5 linked regions of the Nothobranchius furzeri genome follow. The protein of the gene in region 4 binds, or shares a complex with, the protein of the main gene of each other region. Links are inferred from orthologs where the notes say so. Each region holds a gene or a part of one and is shown on either strand. Other genes may lie near its edges.

Region 1 (3,513 bases), on a different chromosome or scaffold from region 4:
GAAACATAGGGACACGCTGTTTGTGCATCGACTCTATTTTTTACACACTATTCTTTGAGAAGGCTTCAAACTCAGCAGTTCATACCAGGCCAGACTAGGGTTGTCACGGTGTGAAAATTTAACCTCACGGTTATTGTGACCAAAATTACCACGGTTTTCGGTATTATTGCGGTATTTTTTTTTAAACGTGCTACATTTTCACACAATTAAATAAAACCCTGTATGTCAGGAAATATTGTCCTCAGTTTGTGTCTAAATTTAGCCTAAAATGTGTTATTTTGTAATTATGTTGTTTATTTGTTTACATTTTTCCCCTTTAGTCTTGAAAATACCAATATTTGCCCATAACTTCTTATTTTATGTCTTTTTGATGTCATCATTTTAAAAATATTAGATCAGATGATACTCAGTACTCAAGTAGCCTTCTAATCAGATACTTTTTACCCTTACTTGAGTAATAAACCCTAGATCAGGAAAATATTGTCCTCGGTTTGTGTCCTTCCAGTGAGCTTTGCAGATTTGGGAAAATGTCATCAGGCAGTAATCGTTGTTAAATTCATAATTATTCTCGGAGAGAGACCAACTCTTATCTGCCCCTGGGAGCCCCGTAATGCATAGCATCATTTCAATATGGCGGTGTCCGCGACACGGTTTATATGCAGGTAGCGGCGGTGCGGCTGCTTTATATAGCGACTCGTTTCATTCTCCCTCAACCCAAATCCTCGGATCACACATTTTAGCTAAAACGCTAACGTTAGCTTGCCTTTCGTTGACTGTAGCGTTGTGGGTGATGGTCACGCAGATGTGTCATGAGATTTGAAGTGTTGCTGCCGGATAGCCGTCTTCTATCAACTGTCTCTCAGCATTCTTCAAATATCCAAAAGATGCCCATACTTCCGACTTTGTCTTCTTTGAGGGATAATAAATGTCCTGAGTGCTGCCGTCTCCTCCTTTGGCCATTATTTCAGCTTTAGCTTCAAGAAAGTTTTGGTTGTAAACAACAAAGTGCGCATGTCCCACGGGCAACTTCAGCAGATGATACGGTGGCTGGTAAGGGTCACCGCGCCTACACCGCAGCCACGGTAATCCACCGAGATAATATAGTTTTTTTTAAAACAAGACGGTTATCATTATTGTCAACTTTTTTTACAGGGGTTTACCGCTACACCGGTTACCGTGACAACCCTAGGCCAGACAGGAACTGAAACACAAAAATGGTGTAAAACATCTAATCCCCCCAGGAAACCCCCTCCTCACCAGTCAAAAATCCGAAACCCAAAGTGCTTTTACCAAAACAAAAGAACCAATCCTGATTCTTGGCAACGTAATGAAACTGATGGACCCCCCCCCCCCCCCCCCAAAAAAAAAGAAAAAGCACAAATAAAACAATATTGACCTTTGATCCCTGATCAAACTGAACATGATTACACTTTGATCAATCGTTCTACAATACAAGCAGCTGCAAAACAAGCCACAGTTTTGCCAACACACTGTCCATAAAACATTTATTTGACTAAAAATCACATTATGAACATCTTGTAATCCTAGTTACAAAGTCTTAATGAATTCTTGGATATTATCTTACCTGCAAACTGATGATGTCTGCGTTGCAGCCGAGGATTTCCTGCATGATGGACTTCTTCCTGTACTCCCAGTTTAGAGCCCAGGTCGGGCAGTAGCCATAGAGCTGCCTCGTGGCGTATTTATCACACAGCACGTTATAGCACATGACCGAGAAGAGAGCTAAGGAACACAGACAGGAAAAATTTCACTCGTTCACGTGTTTCTGAAGCTGACAGCAACCTTAAACACTCCCTTCTAAGGCGTTGTCTTGCTTTAGTTATTAAATCATAATCAGATGGGTTTTATTTGGTGAAATTACTAGTTCCACCCATCAGTAGCAGTGAGTTAACCAAAACACAGGAAAAAGACTTCGACTCATCATGAAACCCCATCGGTGCAGCGTCCTCATTTACCACGAGAGTTACAGAGATCACACTACGTCGCTGGTTTTAGAATGAAAACGGTTAAAACTACAAACAGTACAATATATATTTAAACCAAAATACTATATATTATCAAAAAATATTTGTAGTTTCAAAATATTTGTAGTAGGAGAAGGAGGTTATCATTTTTGGGGGAAATATTTCAAATTTAAGGAGTTACACACCGACATCTTTTCTATCTGCGTCTGGAAGAATCATTTAAGAGGGGCTGAAGGAATGTTTAAAGGTGCAATCTGTAAGAATGACATCTAGCGGACAAATGTGGGTACTGGGGTTCATTTTTTTGGCAAAAACATCACGTTCTCACTGCCGTTCTGTGAGTTTCATGGCTGTTGCCGTTTAATGACGAGCACCAGAAGATTCTAGATGACGAGCGAAGACGAGTCATACACAGAAAGTGGATAAGTTGATGAATACATTGTCATATCTGGTGTTAGCATTCCTGGGTGTTTTATGGCAGGGAGCACTTACTACACTTATTATGGTAGTTTGTTTCAGTTATTACAGGAAGTGTGGTTGTGTGCATTCTTGCTGTTAGCCTGCCGTTAAAAGTTCTGAGCAACTCATTAAAGGAAGAAAAACTCAATTACTCACTTCACACATACATTTCACTGTAACATCAAGTTATTGGTAATTGAAAAAGTAGCTTGAGATATTTTTGAGCTGACTATTTGCTCCTTATTCATCGTTAGCATTGTTAGCTCAATAATAAACTCTAGCCTGCTTTACTCAACATTAAGCCCCCTTCAGACAGGCCATGAAAAACGGAAATGTTCCGGAATCTGTCCGTAAGACCTTTCTGTCTGAATACAAACATCCGGATAATGTGTTCCGGAATTTATCCGGACGAAGCCCCTAGTAACAGGTCCGGACTTGTTACGGACAGGGTGGCTGATTCAGACTGGTGAGGTAAAGTTCCGGACAAGAGGGAGGGGGAGGAGGAGGGGACCGGGGGACGCTGTGCGCACCTAGATAGCCCGCTGCTGTAGCATGCGGCGATCAACGGCAGCTCGCCTCCTACGGTACCGTCTAGACGCGCGAGGGAGCGCTTCACACCGCTTCAGTGATTCCTTTAACCATTGAGCTTCATCATCCAGGTCTCTTATGCGTCTTCGTGTGCGCAGAATTATGCTTAAGCGCCTCGTGATTTTTATCTTGAGAGGCGCTGTAGAAATGATATTTTCTTCTTCTTCTTCTTCTTCTTCTTAACATGAGTCCGATCACCCCCCCACCACCACCACCCCCCGCCGCCGTCAGACATCTGGAACTTTTCCCTGCTGTGTGAACGCAGCCGAAAGGACAAGTTCCGGTACAAAAGTGGTGTGTCTGAAAACACAGTTCCGGTTAAAAACCGGATTGAATTGTCCGCAAATGTTCCAGAATGTCTGTCTGAAAAGGGCTTTAGAGTACAACTAAAGGATGCAGTAGCTTCTTAGGGGTCGCACTTGTTTACTGGCTTTATTCAGTTCTTTTAACAACTCTGGAGCACTGTGTTGAATTACAAATG
Region 2 (3,973 bases), on a different chromosome or scaffold from region 4:
TTGTGAAACGTGCAACTTCTGTAAACACCAGGAATCATCAACATCTACAACTGAAAGATAATTCTGTTTCTAACCCTAATTAGATGTTAATTTCCTGCAACAATGCTTGCGTTTTTAACATAATAAGGCTTTATTAATTTGGGCGAATTAGAAAAGCATAAAATCTATGATTAAACAAATGTCTAAAAGGCCTGTAAATCTTCCTTAATTTTTTTTTCAATTCAATTCTTTATTTCACTCAAAGTTTAAATATACAAAATATACAAACTTCAAATCAGAATATAAGCATTCAAGTGAAATAATTTAATAATAACCTTTCTTTATTCTTTATTTATACTTACATAAGGTGTAATACTTTGAGGTGTTTAGAGTTTATCTGATTTAATTATTTGGCAAAACAATGAATTAATACATTATATAGTGTTTTAGAGACGTTCTTGTTCAGAACTATGCAGCTCTTTTATTGTCCAAAGTGGGAGTGAGGTAATAAACTATTAGTTCAACAGTAATGATTTTTACTGCATTTAACAACAAAAATAAATTAGTTTTTAGGGGGAAAAATTGTCAACAAGCAGCTGAGAATTATTAGGGCAAAAAAGACTAAAACTCAGAGTTGTTCAGATATAAAACACAATTCTCAAATAATGTAGTTTATAATGTTTAGTTCAAGTATCTGTTTAAATAATAGATTTATAAACCAAAGGATGGGAAAAAGGCCAAGAGGGAGAAACTTCTTCTTTCCCTATATGTGTGAGTGAGGATTTAATGAGACTTCAGGGTAAAAGAAACCTTTCTTTTCTTTTATAACTGATTACATTTTTGGTCAAAATGAGTCAAATGCAATTAAATTACAAACACGTGCAATTTTGCAAGAAGGTGAAAAAGGAATACCGATAATCACACATAATTTTATTACAGATGGCTCTATTTGTTAATTTTTTTTTACTTTATATGCTATTTTAAAGGTTAAATTAACATTTCACTCTAATTGTAACAGAAAACACATCACAGTCAAATCCAGTATTTGTATTTTTTTCTTTTTTTCCCTGTAAAATCTTCATCATTATTAGAATATTTGTGATTTTAGATGCGATCGCTCGTTGAAGACATAGATATATATAAACGTATGTTCATTTACATGTGTATGGTTGAGGACACCAGCAGCCGGCTCGGGTTTGTGTACGGAAGTGGTCAGCAGGGTCAGAGGGTAAAGGCTCTTTCCACTGGAAGTACACACAGCCATCTTGGATCTAACGAAGCGAAGGGAAATTGATGCGGTGAGCCTATTTTACTTATTATCAGTCTTGTCGGATGGTGTTGTATAAACGTGACCTCTCGACTGGAGCTTTGAGCTGGGTTTCTCTCGTTTTGATCCGTGGCAGCTCGTTAGCCTTTAGCATCAGCGGGTTGCTAACGCTGCAGGTGCTTGCAAACGGAGCGTAGCCGATAACACGGACAACTGACTGTAGATATAGAAACACAGAGACTATTGCAGGTAAATACAGACTGCTGCTGGATCGTTAAATCGTGGTGATTTGTAACGTAAACGCTTCCACTATTCTCACGGTTAAAGTGGCTCGTTCACAAACTGAAACTAAGCTAACAAAACACCTAGCATGTTAACGTTAGCTACTTAGTTTCGGCTAACTAACATGTTAGCATTGCTGTTATAGTTTTCACTCCCACTAAGTTTTCATGAATATTACAACAAATTCAGCTGTCAAATGAAAGTTAATAACCACCTGGGCTAAAAACTAAACTATTGTTTAATTTCTCCAACATTTATATATGTCAGTGTTTTTCAAATGTCATCTATGTAATAAATTAGATTTGAGGACAATTTCGTAAACCTTTCTGAATTTTCTTATTGAACATTAATTGCTTTTTCACTCATAATCCACCTAGCCTTATTGAGTCGGCGTAGTTGATCACTTTCCGTTAATTATTGTTTGTTTTTGAGCCACATCTGTCTCCGTGTCCCATCAAAACGAAACAGTTTTCTATATTTTGTATTTAAGATCTTCAAAAATGATCAAGATGGCAGTTTAAATTTATATTTGAATTCCTCCTAAGCGATTCCCAGCCTCCTATTAGTTGAAAAGTTCTTATTTATAAAAAGACGTGACTTTTGGACGTTAGTTATCAGGTGTAGATTTTAAGCCTTGAGATTTATTTCTACTCAGCTTCTCTTGTTTTTTAGTGTAATGGTCATGTAAGAAAAAAAATACTGGGAAAAATAATAAAAATCTAAAGCCAAACTTTGAAAAACTTCACAAAAAGTTGAAAGACTGTTCTTCAAAAGCACATGTAAAAGGTTAATGGAAAGTCTGCCACAGCCTAACAGGAAACATACTTGTTTTGTGGTGGTTTCTGCTTAAAATTAATTTTCTGTTTGTTTTGTGATGTTGTGATTTGAAAACCTAAGTGTGTCTGAAAAGCTGAGTATTATTTACCACAGTCTTCTGGGCTGGAGCAGCGCCCAAGTTGCCGTGGCTTGCCAGAGAAAGAGATCGACAAACAGGGCTCAGGAATATCTTAAAAAATGAGTTTGAGAAGTTAATCTGGCCTCCAAACTCCAGTTGTTAATTCGATGATCTTGTCTCATTTATTTTGCCCCCTTTAGTCTCCACCTTTACTAAAGTTCCCTCATTCTTTAGGTGACAAAAGGCATGTTTGGTGCTAGAAAGAAATTTCCAGAGTTCGTCGAGGCCGTCGACAATGACTTCCCAGATGAAATGTATTACAGCCAGGGGTCGATGTTCCCACATCGATCCGACAAAGATGTAAGTCTCGTCATATTTCTGTGTGGTCATGTTATCTGATGGGGAGTTTTTCTGATTATTTTTCTTGTTTGTGAATCTTATTGTCCAGATACTGTCTTCTCCTTCACCGTCGTCTGGTCAGCTGTCACAGCTCGGTCCAAGTTTGTACGGTCCACAAAGTTAGTATTTGCTGTTCTATTTGTACCACAGAATGAACTAGTTTCACATTTGTTACAGATCAGTAGTAGACGTGGACTGATCATACAATGCAAAGAATTCTGTCTGGATTATTTAATATTATTTTGGATTAACTTGGTTCTTTTTTTTGTCCAGGTGCAATTGGCTTCCCCGTTAGAAGCTTGGGAAACAGCACACCTCAGTTAAACCGAAATCTCACGCAAGGGTCGCAGCTACCAAGTCATATCACCCCAACAACAGGCGTCCCCACCATGTCACTCCATACCCCGCCGTCGCCGAGCAGGTTTGTGTTTCTGCTACTAATAATTGTAAAATTGCAACAAAATGTTCATTCTTAAATGTGTTTTTGCAGAGGCACGTTACCGATGAGTTCCAGGAACATACTAAATCACTCTCAGGTTGGTCAAGGCATCGGGCTGAGCAGCAGGACCAATAGTATGAGCAGCTCAGGACTCGGGAGCCCCAACCGCAGCTCACCTAGCATCATCTGTATGCCCAAACAGCAGCCGTCACGTCAGCTGTGCACCATAAGCAGGTAGATTTTAAAATCCTTACGTTTATCAACATCCCTCTGTGGACACCGGCTGAAGAACCGGTCTTTTATCTTCTCCGTGCAGCATGTCAGGGTTTGGTATGAACCGCAATCAGGCGTTTGGGATGAACAACGCGTTAGCAAGCAACATCTTCAACGGCACAGGTGGGTAGTTTCTTTTGAATTTCGAAAGGCTGCAAAGTGTCACGGAGCTTCATGTTGCAGTGGAGTTAGTGAACAACTGCTGGCTCTGCAGTAGAATGTGTTTATGTTAAAGTCTGGTTTTAAATCTGAGCAGCACAAAAATGAAAACAAAAGAATAAATGTATGCATTTTATCAATCTTAAAGACAAAATGTATGGTTTTTATTTGCTGCAGTAGCGATTAGTACGTATTACTATAGAGAGTGTGTTAACATGCTGTTGCAGATGGGAGCGACAGCGTGATGGGACTGGATCTGTCAGACTTCCCCGCATTAGCA
Region 3 (4,163 bases), on a different chromosome or scaffold from region 4:
CCAGAAACGCATACCCCCGGTCTAAAGTTTAATTTTACACACAGCGAAAATCCTCACGTAATGGTTTGTGATCCTGATTCAAATGCACATCGAGGGGGGACGACGTATAAAACTTCCCCGGTTCTGTTCAATCTTTGGAAGCTTGTGCATGACAAGTGTTGCACTGAGCCAAACTGTCTTTTTTGGACTTTAACAAAAACTACTGCCAGATGGCCGACATTGCTCCTTGCTAGCAAACACTTTTCTGATCACGTGGACTTTGCACGCTGGATCTGGACGCTGCTGGATAGAATTGCTGTAATGGAATTTAAAGCAGAACAGACTGCTTATATTGGAGATTTTTGATGCAGTCCGATATAATCTGATACGGTTTTTTTGGGCCGATATCCGATACCAATATCGGAAGGGGACATCCCTAGTTACAAGAACATAGCTACCCATCTGAGTGTGGTTTATAGGAAATAATCACAGCCTCCCTTCATTTCACTACCAGAATGATATAAAAATCACCTGCAACATTAATAAAAATTATTATTTTAGCCAACAGCTTGGAGCTTCATATTTTCTTTGGATTTAACTTCCTACGTTTGTTTTACTCATTTCCTCAAATGCATCGATTTTAATAACTATAATGTAAAAAGCATCATAGCTGTGCTTTTAAAACAAAGCCACAACTCTTTTGACTGAAGGACTTGCCTCCTCCTGCTGGTTCTGGGTCGCAGCTCTCCTTTTCTTGAAGGAAGCAGAAATGAAGCTCCCTGCTCAGTTCCACCACCGGCTGGTCAGGAAGGAAGTCCAAACAGTCCAGAGCTGCACAGAGCCACTTGTCATCCCAAAGAACGACAAATAAACACAAACATTTACAAGAAAATCTCATTAATCTGTAAAGTAAAGCAGCTGGGATCCATGCCGCCGCCACAGGTTCCAGTTCTCAAACCCACTGGGAGCTCCTGAAGGCCTGGAGGATCTGTCTGTCCAGGTGGTTGCTGCTGTAGATCAGGTCTGGGTTTCCATGAGCCACCAGGCTGGCTGTAGAAGGAGGAGGAGGAGGAGGTCTGGCTGCACTGGAGCACTCCTTCCAGCAGGGAGAGCTCTATAATGTTTAACAGCCGGAGAAGAGTCTGCTCGGTCAGACGAAGGAACACGTGGAAACTCCATTACCCACAGTGCACCTCGAGGTAAAGGTCACAAGAAATTTAAACGGGTAGTGCGGCACATTAAGAACCTACTTTTACAGCCATAACAGGCACTTATATTGCTTTTGGAGTTTATTTTGTCGCTAATTGCTTGTTCGTTAAGATTGTTTTGTTGTTAAATAGTCAATTATTGTTGAAAATAAGTCAGACCAAAAGCTGAGTCCTGGAAAACGCTAAGCTAAGCTAAGTGGAGGCTAACACAACTCCAGGATGCTAATATCGTTGACTTTCTGATTCACTTCACAACCATGGATTAGCACGTCTTGTCCCGGTATTTTTCCAACAATAACTAGTTTTAAAAACGGAGCAGAACTTCCCCGCAGCTGAACAGAACCGGAGGAGACGATGAGCCTAGCTCCGAAGGAACTGTCCAACCTGCTGAGCATCATCTCGGAGGAGGCCTGCTCCAACTCCTTCGAGACTCTTTCCACTCACTTCCATCATTACTTTGGCAAAGCAGAGCACTTCCGGGTGGGCTCGGTGCTAGTCATGCTTCTCCAGCAGCCGGACCTGCTGCCCAGCTCCCCGCAGCGGCTCACCGCCCTCTACCTGCTGTGGGAGATGTACCGGACGGAGCCCCTGGCCGCCAACCCGTTCGCTGCTGTCTTTGCCCACGTCCTGAACCCGGCTCCGGCAGGAGAGGAGCAGGAGAAGGCGCTGTCCGGTAGGACTAAATAATCCGGCATTAATGAAATCCATTCATTGCCATTGTATACTGGTAACACAAATATAAACACATCAAAGTCCATGATGGAGTCCCATACGTCTATGAGAGGAATGGCAGGAAATACAAGTTGCTAATACTGCTCCTGCACATTTACTGAAAATCTACGTATCTAAGGAGATGAATTCAGCCCCACCTGTTACCTGTGGTGATTTTGTGTTCAGGCTTCCTGCCGCCTATCACCCAGCCAGAGAAGTTCTTCCTGTCCCAGCTGATGTTGGCACCACCCAGAGACCTCTTCAAGAAAACACCCAGACAGGTGTCCTGCATGGACATCACCAACATGCCCCAGCCCATCGACATCAGTGGGCTGCAGCTCGCATTAGCAGGTCGGGGTGTGTGTGTGTGTGTGCCTGTCCTCTGCATCAGAGCTCTTGCCCCAGTGAGTAGACAGCTGCTCAGGGGAGAAAGCAGTGTGTGCATATGTGTGTGTGTGGCATAAGATTATGAGGACACACACAGAAAATTAATAAACTAATGTGGTTCAGAGTCTCCAAAAGCAACACAGCTCGTGCCCGCCTTTGTTTACCTTATTATGGAGGACACCGCGGACTTTCCCGCGCGTATTAATCACCGCCCACAGGCTCGGGGATTTCTGCGTTCCTGAGAAGTCGCTCGGATTTATACGTGAACACTACACCGCCCGTTCGAGACCAGACTCGCTCCATCCAGACCCACCTAACGGGTTGCCTACCCCCGGTTCAGGCTGAGGTTTAACTTATTTAAGCCTACTTAATACCAACTTGATATAAATATTTTGCAAATACTGACTAAGAGTTATACGGTGCACTTATAATCTAAAATAAATCGAAACATATGGTAAAAATATGGCCTGTATTTGATATAGTGCCTTCTAGAGTCCTGGGAGTCCAAGGCGCTTTACAACGCCATCAGTCATTCACCCATTCACACACTGGTGGGGATGAGCTACGACGTAGCCACAGCTGCCCTGGGGCGCACTGACAGAGGCGAGGCTGCCGAGCACTGGTGCCACGGTGCCTCCGACCACCACCAGCAGGCAAGGGGGGTTAAGTGTCTTGCCCAAGGACACAACGACAGCAACAAACTGAGCGGGGCTCGAACCTGCAACCTTCCAGTTATGGGGCAAGCACTTAACTCCTGTGCCACCGTCGCCCACATATGTTGCATAATGGTTATTTAGTCCCCTCCAGCGGTGCTGTGGGAGAGTGTACGGCAGCGGCGCGTCACTCAGAGATGATTTATTTTTTATCAGCCTGAGAAACTTATCTCTAAACTAATCAGTGACAGGTCCCATCAGTTAATGTAATAATTGTCCCAGGCATTTTGGGCATCCCTCTCCCTGCTTTCACAGTGATCGTGTGCTGCAGCACACACACACACACCATAGACATAAACATAGATGACACCTGGACAGTTTGCAGCACATGAACAGGATACAAACAAATGAAGTAGAAGAATTCAACACCAACAGCTGCAGGTGTTAATAATACAGTGTAAAACAATCACATATATGAGCTGTTTTGTTGGTAGAGTCTGTTGTTGTTTTTAGCACTTAGGTAGTTAAAGAATGAGTTGCAATGTAGTTTGTTCCAGTGGTGTTGCTGTGGTGTGATGTCATCAACAGGCGCAGGTCCCTGAGCGGATCTGATACCTACACCAGCATCAGAAAAGGAATTGCAAACAAGCAACTGTGGGCCAGAGCCGCTGAAATAAAACCAGGAGCTGGATGCGTTTCGAGTTGAGGCGCTGATCGAGCACAAAACACGTATAAAACATGTTACATGGAAGTAGAGCGGGTTGTCCAGTAATCAGAGGGTTGTCCCGGCTCACCGCCCGGGTAGCTGTAGCTACACTGTAGCTCATCACCATCAGTGTGTGAACGTGTGTGTGAATGACGCACTGTAGTGTAAAGCGCTTTGGAGTCCTCTGACTCATGGCACTAAATAAGTGTGGGTCATTTATCATCATTGTCCTGGTTCATCATGTCCGCTCTTTAAGCACCTCACCATTACGTCGTGTATAGTTCTGCTCCAAACAAGGAGCTAATGTTTAACACGTCATTTGTAAGTCAGGTGAGAACATTGGTTGATGGTGAGCGTGTTTACGTACGTTATTACACGCTCGTACCAGGATGGTCGTGTCGCTCTCACCTTCAGCCCCTGACCCGTTTCCATGTCTGCTCCTTGGTCTAACAGAGCGCCAGTCGGAGCTTCCCACTCAGAGTAAAGCCAGCTTCCCCAGCATCCTGAATGACCCAGACC
Region 4 (4,030 bases):
CAACGTTTGTGGCGTTCTGGATCTTGGGGAATCCTGTAGAAGGCTCATCCCTTATCTTGTCCACGTCTGTTCTGGCATCCTGGGGCACAACAGGAATCTACCATATTTCCAGTTTCATTGAGTTTCCTGACAATAACAAATAGCCTAGCTGCGGGCTTCTGCCTGCCAAGATGGCGCCGTTCGATTTGAACCGTTGCATGCCGGGAGAAGTGACGTCAACTCCTGGAGCTCTATAAGTCAAAGCTCTAAGTTTGTATAAAGTATTTACTTAGCTGTAGAAGCCAGGGGAGGGACTTAGTGGAAATATAAATTCTGAAACATGACCAACTGTATTACATAGAATAGGGTCAGACCGTTAATAATAGGCAGTTTTGACATGCTTTTAGCACTGCCTAGTGTCCATTTGTAGAACTGAAAGCAAAATCTATCTCCTCACTGTGTGTTCATCTTTTTAACACCTTAATCTAACAGCTGAAATGCCTCTCCAGTCTTCCTTAGTGTCTAAAGGGGTGATTCATCACTAAATTAAACAAATCAGCTGTGTTCATGACGTAAACATGCAGGAAACTTGCTGAAACTAGACTGCAGCACCAGGTATGTCAGCTCAATTTTCTTTTCCAACAGGCACTCTGAAGTTGCAAATGCTGTATTCTGGCCACAGAGGGCGGTAGGGGTCTAAGTGACTTTTAATTAACTTTGTAAATGGTCATTTTAGCACACAGTGGCTCAAGGAAATATGAAATAATTATAAAGTATCCCTTTAAGCATTTTTAAGTTTATTTAACATTTTTAAAGTACGTACACCAGCTTTAGATCTTTATAAAAGACAGTACTTTGTCAATAGCTGTTACAACTGTGTGCAAATATTTTAGCCATCGGTTATACTTTAATCTAATATGTTATAACCTAGAATATGCTCAAAAAAACAATGAAATAATAACAATGAATTAGGAAACACCCTTCCAATGCTTAATGCTCCAACAGAATGGCTGAAGAGATAAGGGGCAGTTTCAAGACCTACAGAGCAAAAGATGCAGTTTACGTTAACATTTATTTATTTTTACTTTTCGAGGAAATATTTGACCGAGTAAAATCCGAGAAAGAGTTGAAATACATGTCATTTAATTATGGTATTTGAAATGTCAGTCTGGGTTCAAAACCCATGAGTCCTCCCGGGTAAAAGGGGGCGCTACTGAGCTCCCATCAGCTGCTTAAATATAGCCAGCGAAGAATTTACTGGAGCGTAACAGACATATCGGCTAGCCATTTTGTATGTTTAATGTCAGTTATCGAGTATTTTCTCATTATTTAATTCTCGCTTCTCTACCCAGCGCAGTTTAATCGGAATCTGCTTTAGGAGAAACGAAAGTTCTCGTTCCTAAAATCATCACAAATGTCAGAAAATACTGGTAAGTTTTAGAGATTTTGCTAGCTAAATAGCGACGTGAGGCTAAATGTAGCATTTTTGACTCGTTGAGACGGGTTTGTTGGAGGCAGATTGAAGTGATCTTTATGTTGTGACTGAGCTGCAGAGACGATAGGCCCGTTTTCTTATTAAAACTTAAATAAAGTTTCTGATTTTGAACACGTAGTCCTCTGAAAATGCCAGGTGACCACATAACCTTGTCAGCCTGATGCCAGGCTGTCACTACTCACAGCCTCCGAGTTTAAAACGTCATCAGAATTATTCCAGAATAAAAAAAAACTGTTTTAGGTTTTTGGGTTCTGTATCCTCGCCAAGTCAGCCGCGGCTGTTTGTAGGCGCTCTTGTTTTGACCAGTAAAGGACATGTAAACATCATAACTACCAGAGTAACGGGGAGTCCAGCTGATGAACAGTAGCAGGGATGCAGGAGCCTGCAGACTGCACAGTTTGACTTAATCCTCGTCTTCTCATTCTGATCAGAACAAACGGAGTATGAGAGCTCGCCTTCCAGCGGGATGACAAACCGAGAGAAGGAAATCGCAGCAAGTGCATATGAAGCTTTTGTGGTAACTGTTTACATACACACACACTCTCTCTCTCTGTGAGCAATGATCTCACCTGATGGCTTACTGAACTTTTTGACTATAAAGGTTATAAATAACTTTCTCTTACACTGCTCTGAAATGTTGGATCCGAAAGGTTTGAAATGACTTTGTAGCTGTAATCTAGAGACCAGGTGTTAGCTTGTGAATCTGATCAGAACCAATTCCTGTTTCTCCACATTGAGGCTGTTCAAAGTACAGGTGCAGTGCAAGTGCAGGTATAGCTTAGAAGTTACCACTAGAGATGCACCCGTTCTGGTTTTTAGGGCTGATAATGATTTCTGATTCATGTGCTGCTGTGATCCACAGACATCTGCCAATACTGATTTTCCCAAAGAGCTATGGATAACTGATCACACTGAGTATCTGCAGGTTGCAGTCACCAGCTGGTTTGTGCTTCTCTTGTAGCTGGGTCGATTTTTTTAATACTTTACATTTTTGATTTGTGTATTTTAAAGAATAATTTTAAGAGGAATAAAAGGAAACTTAAAACAACACTTAATAAGTTTCCTGCATTCCCCTACTGGTTGACATAAGAATTACAACTGTCGTAAACAACCCTGCTGCAACCTGCTAACAACTAGCTAATGCTAACATGAGCCAACTGATACTAAAATAAGCAACAAAGTAAAAAGGTTCACACTGTTGGACCATAAAATTTTATTACATACCAGTCCAGTAGCAACAAAGCCAGGTCATCATTGGTTTGTGGTTTCGTAAGGCCCTATAGCTCCTTCAAATGAGTGTAGCTCTTTGCTTCACCTCCAAAGCTCTTCCTTAACTCCCAGGCTCCATCATGATGCCAACAAACGAAGAAAAATAATTTTTGGTCTCTATATTGGTCTTCAAAGCTAACAGCTAGCTTTAATATTAGCTACCGACTCAGCAAACAGCTGCTGCCATAGTGCATGTGGAGACCACTAGCTTTAGCCACAAAACTGTTTTTGGTTAGCAGAGGTCTACAGAGTGCTGTCCAATGTGAAGTTCCTCAAGTTTCTGGCTCAAGAAGCATTGAAACCAGTTTGAAAACAATAGCTTTAAGCTGTTATAAACCCTCAAGTGTTGCTTGAAATACTTTGTGTGTGCTACAGATTTGTGAAATGAACTTCTGTGCTCCTCAGGCTGGGAAATATGATGAGTCTCTCAAACACCTTGAAGCTCTGCAGGATGTAAATAAAGAGGACTACAAGATCGCCATGAATAAAGCTGTGGTAGAGTTCTTCAGAAGTGGTCAGACCACTTCAGGGACACTCAAGCAAACCCTGATGGCGATGAAAAACCGGGTAGGTGCAGATCTGGTTTTAGATTTTTGCTTTGAACACTTTCATGTTTGCCTTGACGTTTTCCTGGACTCTTTATCTTTCAGCTCCACACATCAGCTGATGATAGTGATGGGTTGGATGATGTAGAGAACTGTTTGTTGTATTATAACCAAGCCATCATCCTCTATCATATGCGACAGTACTCGGAGGCCATCTCCATAGGAGAGAAGCTCTACCAGTTCCTTGAACCATTTGGTAAGTTTTCCTGTTGTGTGAAGGTTGGTTGCCAATGCTGCTTTCACATCAGGCCCTGTCCAGGCTGGGTGGCGTCAGTCTGGATCACACACCGTTTTGTTCACACACACACTTCTCAGGATTACCAAAATCTCAAAGCACGTGGATAGCAAAAGATGCGCGGAGAAGTCTGTGGTGTCCTCCTTAAGTTTGTAAACGAAGGCAGCTGTGACTCCGACATCTGATAGTGATCTGTGATAGTGATTTTTACTATATTATAAATCTTGTTTAGTTTAGAACGAGCCTTAGCCACTTTGTTCTCTGGTGAAAATTAAAGAAGTTCACTTGTAGGTTTTTTTTACAGTTTACGTTTTGTTGTTGTTGTTGTTGTTGTTAACACCTTGAGGAATGAATGTGGAGAAAAGACGATTTATGATTTATTTGCTTTGAAACACCCATTTAGTAACAATGGTCACTCTTGCTGGGCCACCTCATGTCTGGTATGAC
Region 5 (4,226 bases), on a different chromosome or scaffold from region 4:
GTGAAAGGAGGATGCTGGGGAAGATGACCTCCCCCTTAAAAAGCCCCTCCCCGCCCCCACTGTGGAGACCATGGACAGCTCCTTTACAGGCATCCCAGATGTAGAACTGAACGCTACCGTAGGTCATTCATCCCCTCAGCAGCAAGTGTAGGATTCCCCAGTTTAACTGGTACTGGCATTATCCTGGTACACAACACCACCAATGCAATACTCAGTGTGTGTGTTCAATACCAGATGTACGCAGTACGTTCGTGTCTCTTACTGTACGCTGCATAGTTCTGGAAACACATGTTTCCTTTATTTGTTGTTTTTAGTGGTTGGAGGTTACAATAATAGCAGTGGCTCCCCAAAAGGGTGGCCAGGGCCACACCGGAGGAGTAGGGTTACAGGTAACAACTGGTTTGACCATTAACCCCGGTTAACCCACCGTAAACACGTGTCCAACACCACTAAAGGTGTAAAAAGCAGCGCGAGCCGCACGGACAGAGGGGGGTTCAACCATCAGGACTCCTGTGTTTCAGACAGACACGGGAGCCTAGGTGGGATATTTGCCAAAATGATGGTAGTTACATGTGACTGACGGACAGGTGGGTAAACACAGGAGAAGACGCTAGAAAAGTTAGACTTTTTCACCTTCCTGAAAACGATGTGAGCTAAAGTTAATTAGCATAACAGAGGGGCTCCAGTTTGCAACCACACGTTGATGGAAAACATGTTTCCGTAACCTCTGTGAGCGTTTAGGCTCAGGACACACTAACCGGAAACAGATAGCAGGGCAGCTAAAACGCTAATCTACAGAAAATAACCCAACCGGAAACAAAAAAATAACATTCATGAATTTACCGTTTTTCCTGGATGAGAAACTAATTTCACTGACCTTTCCAAGCTGCCCGCGAGCAGGTTGCCATGTCTGCTTCTGGTGGTCCGTTGTCCGTGTAAAAACAGCAGTTCGCTCAATGGTTCCGCACAAACACACATATTTATTTTTAAAAGGTCGGCTCTAACTTAACCAGTTTACATTACAGGAAACCGTTTAAAAACGTTTCTAAAATCTCATCTAATGTTAAAGATTCACTGATTTAAATGATCGAGTTCAGTATTTGTTTTAAGGTGTGATTAGAAGTAAATGTTGATGTTAAAATCGTGTAAAGTGGCAAAATGAATGAATTGCAAGCATAAGATAAACAAATAAAAATAATGCCGAATCTCTGGTTTTTGCATCGGGTTTTTGTCAAATAAAGTGACGTCAGCTACACGTCACAGATGACGAGTTTAACCAGCTAGCACGTGTCCTTCACATGTTTAGTATCAAACTTTAGCGTAATATGTGTCACTTATTAACAATTAATAAATGAGCATATTTGTAAAGTTTCGTTTGGGATTTATGCTAAGAAGCTAGTAGGCGCGTGCACGACCGCGCTCTGGACTGTCGGTAACGAGCGGAAGCCGCGTTTGTTGTTCTTCCTTCTGTTTCCGAGACGTTCAGGGTTGAACCCGCGCCTGCATGTCGCTGCCAGTTCCCTTCTACAGCCCCCGGATGAAGGTAAACACGTTTTGTATCTAGAGCCGGTTCGCCCGGGCGGCTCGGCGCTAAACCAGCTTAGAGCCCGACTCGGTCCTTGTCCGGTCGTGTCCCCCACCCTAAGCCCCTGGAGCCCGGGGAGCATGCGCCCAGCCGCCGCTGGCTGACTTACTCCAGCCCCGTGCTTCGGGAGCGCTGGTCGGTTACCGTGACCGGTCTTTGCTGCATAGGTAAATGTGTCGCTGACATCCGTGGAAGGTGTCGAATCGGAGCGCGTGTTTACCTTGGTGTCAGGTGTGCCAGCAGCTGGTGAGCGGGCCTGTCCTCTTGTCACTTTTGACACCACAGCTATGTTTGGACACTCGTCCCTCAGCTGCCTGAGCAGTTGTCACTGCTGCATACTTTCCAACACACACACACACACACACACACACACACACACACACACACACACACACACACACACACACACACACACACACACACACACACACACACGGCCCTCTTTCAGCTCCTGAGGCAACATGACCTGTTGGAGTTGTGATGGTGTCTGCAGACACTTGTGACCTGCTGCGCCTGAACCCACCTCACCCAAAGGCCCTGAACGTATTTGCTGTAACTCACCATTCTGAAGTAATCAGGCTGTAGATCCACAGGAACGTTTAAAGATGAGGTTCTACGACGATCATCCTACAAGTGCAGGAAGTCCTCTGGATGACTTTTCTTTATGTGGATAACTTCTGATTAAAACTGTAATCACTGATCAAATGTTCTGCTGGTTTGTTCTGGTTTCAGTGGTTTTGTTGCTCCTCAGCAGGTGAAACCTCCTGAGAAAAATGAGCAGTTTGCTTCCGTCATCATTAACTAAAAAACGCCTCGAGCTTTTTTTTAAACCTTTGAGTTTCTTATAAATTGTTCTTCTCTTGTTTTCCACATTTTTTTAGTGCTTGAAATAAAAGTTGGTGTTTTCTTTTACGATTGCCACGATAACTCGTGCTCCTGGTTTGTCCTGCAGATTAACAGGAATGCCAAAGGAGAAATATGACCCCCTAGATCCCCGCAGATGTTACACCATCATGTCAGCTGAGGAGGCGGCTGGTGGGAAGAAGTCTCACTGGGCTGAGCTGGAGATCTCTGGTCAGTCTGCATTTACTTCCAGTAAAACACACTCTGGACGTTATATCCAGAGAAAGTCTTGTCCATGTTTTCAGTGTCGGGGTCAGTTTGGCCCACTGTGTTCAGAAATGTTAGTAAAATGAAGCTCCGCCACCTACACAGGAAGGGTGCGGAGCCTGAGCAGCTCGTTATGGACCCTCACCCACCTGACGGCGCTCCACATCAACGACAACAACCTGACTCGTATCCCACCGGACATCGCCAAGCTGCCCAACCTGGTCTACCTGAACCTGTCATCCAATAAGCTCCGAAGTCTGCCCGCCGAACTGGGCAACATGGTTACTCTCAGGTGGGTGGAGTTCTGACCCCTGACCTTTAACTCAGCTGCAGTGTGGGTGGGGTCGTCCGTCGTGTCCGACAGTTTCAACCGAACTGATGCTAAAGCGGTCATTTAAAACCCTGAATCAGGTGATTAAACCAGTCAGACATGAACACAGGTCAAGGGTGAGAAAGGTGAGACCCTCCCACGTGTGCGTACACACACACACACACACACACACACACACGCACGCACACACACATACGCACACACACACCTGTCTGTAAGGACGGACGTGGGGGGTGCTGCAGTGTGTGTGTGTGTGTGTGTGTCTGTGCATACATACACATAGACACACACACATGCACACACACACACACACATGCACACACACACACACATGCACAGACATACATACACACACATACGCACACATGCACATGCACACACACACATGCACAGACACACATACACACACATACGCACGCACTCACACACACATGCACAGACATACATACACACACATACGCACACATGCACATGCACACATGCACAGACACACACACACACACACACCTGTCTGTAAGGACGGACGTGGGGAGTGCTGCAGTGTGTGTCTGTGTGTGTGTCTGTGTGTCTCTGCATACATACACATAGACACACACACATGCACACACACACACATGCACAGACATACATACACACACATACGCACACATGCACATACACACACACACATGCACAGACACACATACACACACATAGACACACATACGCACGCACGCACTCACACACACATGCACAGACACACATACACACACACACACGCACGCAAACACACACATACACACACACATGCACGCGCGTGCACACACACATGCACGCACACACCCTCCCCAGCCAGCTGAGGTGGCTCGGGCGCCTGGTCAGGACGCCTCCTGGTGAGGTTTTTCGGGCATGTGTATCTAGCGGTGGGATTTGATCAGTTTTTATCAATAACAACAACCTTGTCGATTCTGTCCATCGATCCAGTTCCTTATCAATTCCAGAGAAGTTCAGTAGGTGGGCAAGTGGCTCGGGAGAGGGCAGTGTGGGCCTCCCGACTCGGGCTGCTGCCCCGCGACCCGACTCCGTATGAGCGGATGAAAATGGTTTTAAATGAACAAGTTAAAAATGATGAATAACACGTCATAAACAGATGTTTGAAGTCTGGACTCAAGTTCTGCAAGAACTTCTAAATCAGCAAAACGACATTATAATTCATGTCCT

Evidence for each region.
Region 1: cnot10 (region 4) and cnot6a share a complex: the UniProt entries of both Homo sapiens proteins name them as parts of the CCR4-NOT complex. The link is inferred for Nothobranchius furzeri from reciprocal best matches to the Homo sapiens genes CNOT10 and CNOT6.
Region 2: cnot10 (region 4) and cnot2 share a complex: the UniProt entries of both Homo sapiens proteins name them as parts of the CCR4-NOT complex. The link is inferred for Nothobranchius furzeri from reciprocal best matches to the Homo sapiens genes CNOT10 and CNOT2.
Region 3: cnot10 (region 4) and cnot11 share a complex: the UniProt entries of both Homo sapiens proteins name them as parts of the CCR4-NOT complex. The link is inferred for Nothobranchius furzeri from reciprocal best matches to the Homo sapiens genes CNOT10 and CNOT11.
Region 5: cnot10 (region 4) and cnot6l share a complex: the UniProt entries of both Homo sapiens proteins name them as parts of the CCR4-NOT complex. The link is inferred for Nothobranchius furzeri from reciprocal best matches to the Homo sapiens genes CNOT10 and CNOT6L.

What each region holds. Positions count from the first base shown.
Region 1 is NC_091741.1:95,565,320-95,568,832, forward strand, and holds part of cnot6a (CCR4-NOT transcription complex subunit 6a), read right to left. Parts: intron 1,744-3,513; coding exon 1,586-1,743; intron 1-1,585. UniProt on the Homo sapiens protein: Poly(A) nuclease with 3'-5' RNase activity.
Region 2 is NC_091744.1:77,738,542-77,742,514, forward strand, and holds the start of cnot2 (CCR4-NOT transcription complex subunit 2), read left to right. Parts: upstream 1-1,172; 5' UTR 1,173-1,277; intron 1,278-1,362; exon of another isoform or gene 1,363-1,495; intron 1,496-2,657; 5' UTR 2,658-2,669; coding exon 2,670-2,783; intron 2,784-2,871; coding exon 2,872-2,941; intron 2,942-3,095; coding exon 3,096-3,243; intron 3,244-3,312; coding exon 3,313-3,495; intron 3,496-3,577; coding exon 3,578-3,657; intron 3,658-3,920; coding exon 3,921-3,973. UniProt on the Homo sapiens protein: Component of the CCR4-NOT complex which is one of the major cellular mRNA deadenylases and is linked to various cellular processes including bulk mRNA degradation, miRNA-mediated repression, translational repression during translational initiation and general transcription regulation.
Region 3 is NC_091754.1:35,255,071-35,259,233, forward strand, and holds the start of cnot11 (CCR4-NOT transcription complex subunit 11), read left to right. Parts: upstream 1-1,350; 5' UTR 1,351-1,541; coding exon 1,542-1,860; intron 1,861-2,084; coding exon 2,085-2,249; intron 2,250-4,097; coding exon 4,098-4,163. UniProt on the Homo sapiens protein: Component of the CCR4-NOT complex which is one of the major cellular mRNA deadenylases and is linked to various cellular processes including bulk mRNA degradation, miRNA-mediated repression, translational repression during translational initiation and general transcription regulation.
Region 4 is NC_091745.1:58,557,413-58,561,442, reverse strand, and holds the start of cnot10 (CCR4-NOT transcription complex subunit 10), read left to right. Parts: upstream 1-1,227; 5' UTR 1,228-1,393; coding exon 1,394-1,409; intron 1,410-1,905; coding exon 1,906-1,991; intron 1,992-3,148; coding exon 3,149-3,310; intron 3,311-3,393; coding exon 3,394-3,544; intron 3,545-4,030. UniProt on the Homo sapiens protein: Component of the CCR4-NOT complex which is one of the major cellular mRNA deadenylases and is linked to various cellular processes including bulk mRNA degradation, miRNA-mediated repression, translational repression during translational initiation and general transcription regulation.
Region 5 is NC_091750.1:40,065,553-40,069,778, forward strand, and holds the start of cnot6l (CCR4-NOT transcription complex subunit 6-like), read left to right. Parts: upstream 1-1,413; 5' UTR 1,414-1,543; intron 1,544-2,537; 5' UTR 2,538-2,547; coding exon 2,548-2,659; intron 2,660-2,800; coding exon 2,801-2,987; intron 2,988-4,226. Other genes in the region: mrpl1 (large ribosomal subunit protein uL1m), read right to left, coding at 878-908. UniProt on the Homo sapiens protein: Has 3'-5' poly(A) exoribonuclease activity for synthetic poly(A) RNA substrate.